Caenorhabditis elegans: one gene and its partner. The protein of the gene in region 1 purifies or fractionates together with the protein of each later gene. This does not show direct contact. Each region holds a gene or a part of one and is shown on either strand. Other genes may lie near its edges.

Region 1 (5,001 bases):
TATTGGTTTCCGATTTTTGAAACTTGTTGAAAATCCTCAACATTGCAATGACGGGAAGAGTAAGATTGCAATTCAAGATATTTGAACCTTGTGAACCCTTATTCAAAAATCTTTCCCTTTTATGTATTGGACAAGTTTGAAGGTTAAAGTATTCTTGTCAATTTGATCTCTTCAAACTATGACTCTAATAAAAATTTCCAATAAAAATACAGCTTCTCAAACGTGTTATCATTTTAAATTGAGTTATTATTAATTCGAAAAACGTAGTCAGACACAATATTACAAAAAATTAAGCCACTTCTTTATGGCCAAAAGGCAAATGAGTTTGTTCAAAAGTTCTAAAAATCAAAAAAAATTATAGAAAAAAAAAGAATTTTGAAACTAGGAAAAGCCAAACTGGATGGAGAGAAAGAGCAAAATAGTGTTTCTTTGATCTTTCAAACTCATTTAATCCAGACATTCTAATATCCGATTAATTTCAAAATAAGCTATGTACAGCTCTACATACGGAGGAGGGAAAATGGATTGAGCAAATATGATACATTAAACTAGAAAATATTATCCAGGAGTTAAAAAGAAACAGCTAATTACATCTAATTATTGAATTGAATTGAATTTATTACGATTGAAATCGTGATAATAAACATAATAAACATACGATAATAAACATACAGAAAAATAATAAACATACAGAAAATGAATTATCATCTGAATAGTTGATTAGTTGGTACATGAATGTGCGGGTGTCAGGGAGATGAATAATGGGTAACATGAAAGTAGTTTGAAAGTAGTTTTATATGATTCATAGTCAGATAAATTGATTTTTCGATTTTTCAAACTTTCTTTCTGATAATTTAATCGATTTTCATCGATTTTTCAAACTTTCTTTCAGTTAACTTAATTTATTTTTTTCTGTTTTTTCGATTCGTTTTGCAACTTTATGCTGTTTCGTTTCATGTTTTAATTTATTGACTTTAACCCTTTTTTATTGCATATGAAGGCAATTGCCGTTCGGGTAATTTTTTTGCCGGAATTTTCAATTTTGACAATTTGCCGGTTTGCCGAACATCAATTTGTTGGAAGTTTTTAGAAGGATTTTTATAAGACGGAAACACTTAAAACTGTGCTTTTTTGAAATTTTTCCAGTTTTATCTAGACATTTTTACAGAATTTGCTTATTTTTAAAATAGATGTATGACATTCATAGGATGCATACAATTTTGCCGATTAAAATTGAAATTTTCAAATTCTCAAAAAAAAAAGTGCAAAACCACAATTTGCCGAAAATTCACTGCAATTGCCGTTTTCCGGCAATATAGGCAAATCGTTTTGCCGCAAAATTGTAATTCCGACAACTTTCCGATTTGCCGATTTGCCGAAATTTTATATTCCGGCAATTTACCGAGTTGTCGATTTGCCGGAAGTTTCAATTCCGGCAATTTGCCGATTTGCTGGAAAATGTCACTTGCCACCTCCGTGCATTTTTTTTAAATACATACATGGATTATTTGATAATTTCCCTGCACCTTTCTTTAATCTTTTTCAAGATTTTGGTAAAATGAAAACTTTCAAAATTCATATTGTTGATCTTGGGCGACAATTGCAAACGTACACTTGAACTATTTAATACGAACCTTACATTGTATGTCATTCCGCCACAGCATTTGTCTGCATGTCTCTCTATTTCTCCTTTTTTGTGTATTCACTCCAACGACGCTGGCAGTAACTACCTCTTATCTGATTTTTCGTCATCATTGGCTTCTTTCTCTCTTTTCATTACCTTTTCTTGTCAAAAACATGAAAAATTTGATTAATATATGTCCGCGTCCATCAACATCAAATCATTTTTCAAATATTTCCTTGTCATCATCAGAGCCGCCTCCTCCAAGGAAGGACTGCCGAATTTGCTTTGAAAAAGGCCACGGCTACCATTTTGGAGTGTTCTCTTGCAGAGCTTGTGCTGCTTTTTTCCGGTTTGAAATTAAAATACTATATTGATATTAAAAAAATAAATTTATATTTTAGACGTTGCCACTTCCTAAAAGAAAACCGTCGTAGATGTCGGCTATCCAAAGGAAAATGTGGACCGAATAAAAATGGAAAATGGTTTTGTAAAACTTGCCGATTGGAAAGGTGCTTTCGATTGGGGATGACTCCTTCAAGTGGGCTGACTGAAATTTCCGGAAAAAATATACTAAAAAAATATTTCAGATATCCAATATGACAGAGACGCCTATAAATCATCGGTGAAAAAAATAAAAGACAGTGCTGAAAACGTAAGTTTTTGGTTGAAACCTTGAACTGTTCGAACCACTGAATTTTAGTACTAAATTTCGAATTTCCAGAAATTTTTAGTGACAAAGTGTGAGTTTCCCGCTAGAATTTGCTTGAAAAATTTTGAATTTCCAGCAACTGTTTTTGAAAAAAAAATTTGAGTTCCCGCTAATTTTTTTTGAAAAATGTTGAACTTCCTGAAATTTTTTTTGCAACAAAATTTGAGTTTCTTGCTAGAACTTGAATATCCAGGAAGTGTTTTTAAAATAAAATTTGAGTTTCCAGCTAAATTTTCTTTGAAAACTTTTGAATTTCCAGCAAATTTCAGGAAATGAAATTTGTGTTTCCCGCTAGAATTTGAATTTCCAACAATAAATAATAGAAACGGAATTTGAGTTTTTCACTAGAAAAATGAAAAAAAAATTGGAGTTTCCTGCTAAAATTTGTTTGAAAAATTGTGAATTTCCAGGATAATTTTTTTTTAATAAAATTTGAATTTCCCGCTAGAATTTGACTGAGACAAGCAGATTTTTCAACAATTTTTAAGAACAAAACTGGAGTTTCCCGCTAAAATTTGTTTGAGAAAATTAGAACTTCCAGCAAAATTTTTTATGAAAAAATTTGTCTTTTCCGTTACTAAACACAGTATCAAAGTAATTTTTCTTTTCCAAAATCTAATAATTTCTAGATCACCGAGCCAAAACGTGATGCCACCTCACTCATATTAATCAATAAAACCTCTCAAGTCCTTCCATATGTGGATCTATCACAACTGGTTAATAAGGCAACTCGCATGCTTTTAAATCCAATTTTCACCAAAAAAACTAAAAAAATGAGCAACTTGGAGCAACTGACTCATGGGCTCATCGAGCTTCAGTGGTCACAAAAAGACAATTTAGCAGAGGTTGTACATCTATCTGTGAGTGATGTCACACAAGATATGGAAAGATCCATGTTTGGAGCTGCAAAATGGATGATGTGTTCCGAACGAATCAGGAACTATCAAGACTCGTTAAAAATTAGAATACTGCAAGCAATCTGGTACACTTGGGGACGTCTCGAACGGATTGCCACTACGGCAAAATTGAGATTAGAGAAAAAATGCGAAGAAAAGGTAGTTACTGAATTTTAAATGCTTTCTGTTTATATGTATCCAGGTTTTTATTTTAGCATTTTGTGTTCTCCCCAATGTTTGCACTGAATTTGGATGAAATGTCTTTTGATGCTAGCTGCTGGACAACTCTCCCGTTTGAAGAAATGCAATAGTAAGTTGGATATTTTTATATGAATATCATTTAAATTTTTAGTTTCTATGTTCCTAGAGAGCTGTTCTACGAAGATGCCGTATTGGAAATGATGGAAGTGAAGCCAAATGACGTGGAGACGACATTTATCATTTGCAGTATTTGCTTTCACTTGACTGGTGAATTTTTTAAAAGTTCAAAAAAATTAGTTTAAAGTTAAGCGCGTAGCAAATTCATTTTCCGGTGTTTGGATATCATTTCTTAACAGAAATTATGTTGTAACTTGTGGCTTTTAAAAGCCCAAACGAAATGACGAATGACTGTTGAAATTTTTTTTATTTTCAGGCAAACGATTCGGTGGCGAAATCCAAGAAAAGATGGACCACTTACAAGACGTTTTATCAAACGACCTTCACGAGTATTACCTGAAAAACAAAAACTCCATGTACCTTCGGAGGCTAAAACAGTTAATGAGAATCAAAGAGAATTTTCTGAAGCTGAGAAGTGCTCGAATGGATAAATATGAAATTGGCGGATTTTTCAACTCATTCAACCCACGAATTTCAAACCCGGAGTTTTTTGAGGTGTTATCTTAACTGTATTTTCGATGTGAAGTTGTAGTACTATTATTGTGTGCAACATTTTTTATACAAGGAAAACATCAGTCAAATATGTTTTGAACCTACATCATAGTAGATTTACTTTCAGACTTATGTTAAATTTCAAGGTTTCGAAATAGTGGCAATATGAGGTATAGGCTGAGTAGATCTTTTAGATCGTCGACTATCCTCAATTTTTGATTGTCTTCTAACTAAAATTTCAATGACAATAATTGATTCAATTGCTCTTCCGACTTGCTTCAGCATTGCAGTAACTGGTCCTGTAGTCGTGTAGGCTATCAACGGAGAATTGGGAAACTCGTGAGCCACAAACGATGGAACAAAGTCGAAGAAGAAAATCAAAAAAGCGTCGAGAAGAGCTAGTCGATTGGCCTGAAATGTTTCCAAACTTGTTGAATTGATATCATTATTTTAATTCTAAGACCTTACTCTTTTCGTAACTCCAGAGTTTTGCAGAGTTTTTGAAAAAAGCATTAGCTTAATGCAAAGAATTATTGTGAAGAATATGATCACAGGAAATATAACAGACTTATAAGTGGTCCACCAATTATATGCACAAGTATTCAAGGTGCATGGGAACGTTGTACAACTGTCTGGGATATGTTTTAAATTTTTTCCACAAATTATGAAAATAACAAAGTCCTCGACAATGAGAAATATAAATGGAGGAATGTAGAATAGTAGGTTTGAAATTCGAGGTCGAGCCACGTGATATTTAATAGGTAGGTAAGTTGCCTGTAATGGTTAAAGGGGGAGTAGAGTTGGTGGGTATTTTGCTTAAATAGACTAAAACTGGTCCAAAAACAACGAATTTCATAATGAGACTTCACAAAAAATTTCCAAAAATTTTTTATGGTAGGCCA
Region 2 (4,820 bases), on another chromosome or scaffold:
TCCGTATTTTTGGCGAAAAAAATATCAAAAAAATTCACAAATGACTAATAATTTATCATTTTTATATCCAAAATTCTGTATTTTCCAGGTACATGTATCAGAAAATCCAACAAAAACGAGCCGAGCTGGAGCAAAGTCTCGGAATCCGCAACAATTAATAAATTATATCTCTTTCCGTATAATATCGATTTTTTCTCTCTTCCTTCTCCCTCTGCCGACCTGTAAACTGGGATCTCAACAACATTTTCAAAAATTCTCTTTTTATCGAATCTAATTACGTTTTATCTCAATTCTTCACTAATTATATAATTATTTTTCTCTCCACTCCAAACCAAATTTTAATTGATAAATTATATGCATTTTAAGCTTATGCTCGAAAATTTAAACAGTGGTTTATTTATCCAATTTATTTATTATTTTCTTTTTTACCACATGTGTGTAATATGTAAATTATAGGAAAAAACGCGCCTTTTGAAATCGAAGCACAAGTGCGCTCCATGGGCACGCGGGCTCCGCCTCAAAACGTTAGGTCTCGTTAGGTTTTTGGTGAAAAAATCGTACATTCAAACGTTTTCAATTAATTTTCCGGTTTTTTGTTTTTTTTTTTTGCTGTTTTCGGTTATTTTCAATGATTTTTACGTCGAGATCATGTTTAAAATTTTTAAAAAATCAATTTCGGCTTAAAAATGATTTGAAAAAAACAACGGAATACATTACAAAAAAACCTGCCTTTTATTTTTTTCGTCTTTTTTGCAATGTATTCCGTTGTTTTTTTCAAATCATTTTTAAGCCGAAATTGATTTTTTAAAAATTTTAAACTTTTACCTTGTATATACCTAACCAACTTTTTGGAGGCGGAGTGTGTTAATTGAGGCCCCACGAAAAGGGGAGCAGAACGAAAAGGGGATCTCCAAAAAGGGGATCTGCGAAAAGGGGAGATACGAAAAGGGGAGCTAACGAAAAGGGGATCTGGCACTGTGCCAAACGCTATTTTTCTCGAAGAAAACGATACAACGATGCTCCGATGTTACGCGTCGCGTGCTGTTAAGCGTATCCTCTAGAAGAAAATTTCAAAAATCAACGTGCGTTGCGTGAGAAAAATTGCGTTTTGTGCGTTTGGCACAGTGCCAGCTCCCCTTTTCGTTGCTCCCCTTTTCGTATCTCCATTTTTCGTATCTCCCCTTTTCGCAGATCCCCTTTTTGCAGATCCCCTTTTCGTTCTGCTCCCCTTTTCGTGGGGCCTCTGTTAATTTGACCGTGGAGCGCACTTGCCTCGATTTGTAGATTTACGTGCTCGTGTACTCTGCGTGGACAATCCTGATTTTTTTCGCTATTTTTCTTGCATTTAACATTTAAAAAAGTCACTTTTAAAAACTTTTAAAATGCCGGAAGCCATTCGAGATTTGAGATATGTAACATGTAAAATAAAACAACTAGAAAAAGAGCACTCGGAAAAAATTCCGGCTCTCCCGTTTTCTCTATCTCAGTCTCCTGCTTTATTACACACACACAGACATACTTTATCTCGGTCAACACAGACAGACACATCCTTATTCCTTTTTCCAATATTTATACATATATTTTCTCACATAATTTTTAATAAAAGAAATATATTTCAGATGAGTAGCGGGTATTCCTCTGCACCGAGTGTGTCTCATACATCAAGTGACACAGATTTGAATCGAATCGACAGCTATGATGATGGAGCTGAAGAGACAACAGGTAATTACCGGAAGTTTTTTGACAAAATTTTTTAGCTTTTTTTGTTTTGTCTTTATGGCAAATCCTTCACTTTCCGTGGCGAGAAACAGAAAAATTGATCTGAAAATTTGTAAAAATTGCATTTTTTCAGTACTCTCGAGACTTTTTAAATTTTGAATTGCTGAGCTTTTTTTTCATTAAAATTTTACCCAGATGCAAAATTTTGTCTCGAAGCGACATTTTTTGTTAATGTAAATAGGTGTGCGCCTTTAAAGAGTACTGTAATTTCAAACTTTCCGCGCTACGGAGTTTTTAATCAATTTTTCATAGTTTTTCTTTTGAAACATATAAGTTTTAGAAAATGTGAGTAAAAATTTTTAAAATAGAATTGGAAATTACAGTACTCTTTAAAGGCGCACACCTTTTTGCAACTAACAACTATTTGTCGTGTCGAGACCGGTTACCATATTTGGCGCCAAATTTCGTGTCTGGATTATTATCCAGACACGAAACGAGACACGAGGAAGCTTTTTATGAAATTTTTATTATTTTTTTGAGAAAAAATCGGGAATTTTTTAAGTTGGGTGAAAACAAATTTCAGATTGAAAAGAAAATCCAATATTTTTTTTTCGAAAAAATTGGCATCTTTATGGAAGTTTCTTCTGAAAAGTTTTTAGATTTTTAAAACAAAATTTTTTTAAGATTGAAAAGTAATTGGAAATATGCAAAAATCCACTTTTTGAGCAATTTTGCGGGGCTCAATGGTAGTGAAAAAATGCGACGAAAAAAACATTTTCAAATCGAATTTTTTAAAAACTTCTTTTTAAAAAAGTCACAATTCTAGTTTTTGATTCGACGTTCCGATTACTAAATGATCATAGATGGTTGTTTATTTTTGTATTCGACATCTTCTTTTTCTCACCGTCATTTTATTAGAAATCACAAGTTGTTTTTCATTTTCTCAAACCTTTTCGCCCAAAAAAATCTCTAATCTTAAATTAAATATCTCTTTTAAAAATAATAAACTTTAGGTTTTCCGTTGAGAAATCTACGAAAAACTAGTCCCTTGAGTTTTTGTTTTATCCGCTTGTCGATCTTCCTCTAACCTAAAAATTCAACTATTTCCACAAGCGCTTCTCTTTTTTTTTTGAAATTTTTTCTGTTGAAGAGAGCATAAGTAGTACTTCATCTCAAAAGATAAAGCTTCAAAAGCATGAAGTCGTAGACATTGTTTTATGATGCTCAAGAATTTTGTTGAAGCGAAAGAAAATCTGTGAAAAAGCTTCTAGCGTTAATGAGAATTTATATTTACTAAAATCTTTGAAATTTTTATAAAAATTTTAGTTTTAATGCCAAAAAATACCAAAAAGAACAGATTACAGTTTGAAAAATAGAAATTATATTTCTATAGAAAAGGAGAATTTTTAAATTATTTACTTGAGAAAATTTGAAAAAAAATTCCAAACAAACATGACCAAAAAAAATTTTTCCTGGATTTTTTGTACTTTTTGAGAAAAAAAAACATTTTTGTAGAATAATTATAGGTAGATTTCAAGCTAAAAACATAGAAATATCTTTCTTTTTTTTTTGAAATAAAAACAGTTAACAATTTTTTTTAAAGTTTCACTATGAAATTTGACCATTTCCCCACTGATAAAAAATTAAATTTACTGACAGGAATTTTATTTTTAAAAAAGTTGCAGAAATAATAAATTTTCTTAAAACTGTAGAAATTATTTTTTTGTAAATATAAAAATTGCTGAAATAATTTCAGAATTGCAGAAATTATATTTTTTTAAAATATATAAAAATTGTAGAAACTATGTTCAAATTGAAAAAATTATATATTCTTTTAATACAAAAGGTGCAATTTTTTTTTTGACGGACTCCTAAAGTTACCATAAAGAAGCCGTATTTGGCGCCCTATTTTGGAGGAAATTCGAAAAAAATCACTTTTTCAAGGTATTTTTGTTACAGTTGCGTTGCAAAAATAGTAGAAATGACAAATAAAAAACCAGCAAAAAAACAAAAGTCAAAAAAAAGAAGATGCTCAAGAGAGCCCTAACTTCGTTGCCAGACACCGCATAAAACACATTTACTTCCCCGCCGTTACCACCATAACAATCACGACACTTTTTCGTTCACTTCTCACTCTGTTCTTCTTCTTCTTCTTCTCGCTCGTCGTCGCTTTACACCTATAACGTTCAAATAAACAAAAAAATAATTGTGTAGTGATGTATCTCTTTTTGTCTCCGTTGACACCACCATCACTACCACCCTTTGAGGAGAGAGCATGAAGATTACTGCTGCTGGGGGGGGGCTTAGTGAGAAATAGGAGATGATATAGTGATTAGAGATACATACGTTTTAAACTATGAGTGAGTGATGGCAGAAAACTAGGGAAAAAACTACCAAGAAAACAAAACAAAGAACTCTCGGATACTAATCTTTAGTTTTATTTTTTTTTGTCTTGCTTTACGAGAAAGAAAAAGCAAAATGACAGCTTTTTTACTCACAGAAAAACGTTGTTGAGCTCACTTTTTTTTTGGCTTTTTTTAAATGAAAAATCCTACAGAAAATGTAGCCATTCTGAATTTATTTTTAAGAGAATCAGAAAAATGTGCTTATCACGTTTTACGATTATGGCAACAATTTAAGGAGTTTTAGTACTTTTCTCTCTAAAAAAACGTTTTTACTGGAAATTTTTTTTCTGATAATTTTGCCAAATTTGCAGGAAATTTTTCCCCACATTAAAAAATTGTTCAAACTTTATATCAGGGGTGGGCGGCAAACGATTTTTCCGGCAAATCGGCAAGTTACCGGAATTGAATATTTCCGGCAAATCGGCAAACCGCCAAATAGCCTGAATTGAACATTTCCGGCAAATAGGCAATTTTCCGGAACTGAAAATTTCCGACAAATTGGCAAACCGGCAATGTGCCGGAAAAACGGCAAACTGGTGAACTTGCCGGAATTGAAAATTTCTGGTAAATCGGCAAACCGGAAATTGGCCGAATTTGCCGGAAAAACGGCAATCGCTGAAAATTTTTGGCAAATTGTGGTTTTACACACTTTTTTTTGGAAATTTCAGAATTTAAATTTTAATCGGCAAAATTGTA

The links.
Region 2: the proteins of nhr-177 (region 1) and ttll-4 fractionate together in Caenorhabditis elegans (co-fractionation; one large-scale study listed by BioGRID). This does not show direct contact.

Annotation. Positions count from the first base shown.
Region 1 is NC_003283.11:1,608,563-1,613,563, forward strand, and holds nhr-177 (NR LBD domain-containing protein), read left to right. Parts: upstream 1-1,700; 5' UTR 1,701-1,797; coding exon 1,798-1,973; intron 1,974-2,025; coding exon 2,026-2,162; intron 2,163-2,211; coding exon 2,212-2,276; intron 2,277-2,962; coding exon 2,963-3,388; intron 3,389-3,444; coding exon 3,445-3,539; intron 3,540-3,581; coding exon 3,582-3,697; intron 3,698-3,863; coding exon 3,864-4,114; 3' UTR 4,115-4,196; downstream 4,197-5,001. Other genes in the region: srbc-41 (Serpentine Receptor, class BC (Class B-like)), read right to left, coding at 4,241-4,510, 4,568-4,873.
Region 2 is NC_003281.10:10,122,564-10,127,383, forward strand, and holds the start of ttll-4 (Tubulin polyglutamylase ttll-4), read left to right. Parts: upstream 1-1,619; coding exon 1,620-1,722; intron 1,723-4,820. Other genes in the region: ham-3 (SWI/SNF chromatin-remodeling accessory subunit 1), read left to right, coding at 89-158. UniProt on the Caenorhabditis elegans protein: Monoglutamylase which modifies tubulin, adding a single glutamate on the gamma-carboxyl group of specific glutamate residues of target proteins. Involved in the side-chain initiation step of the polyglutamylation reaction but not in the elongation step.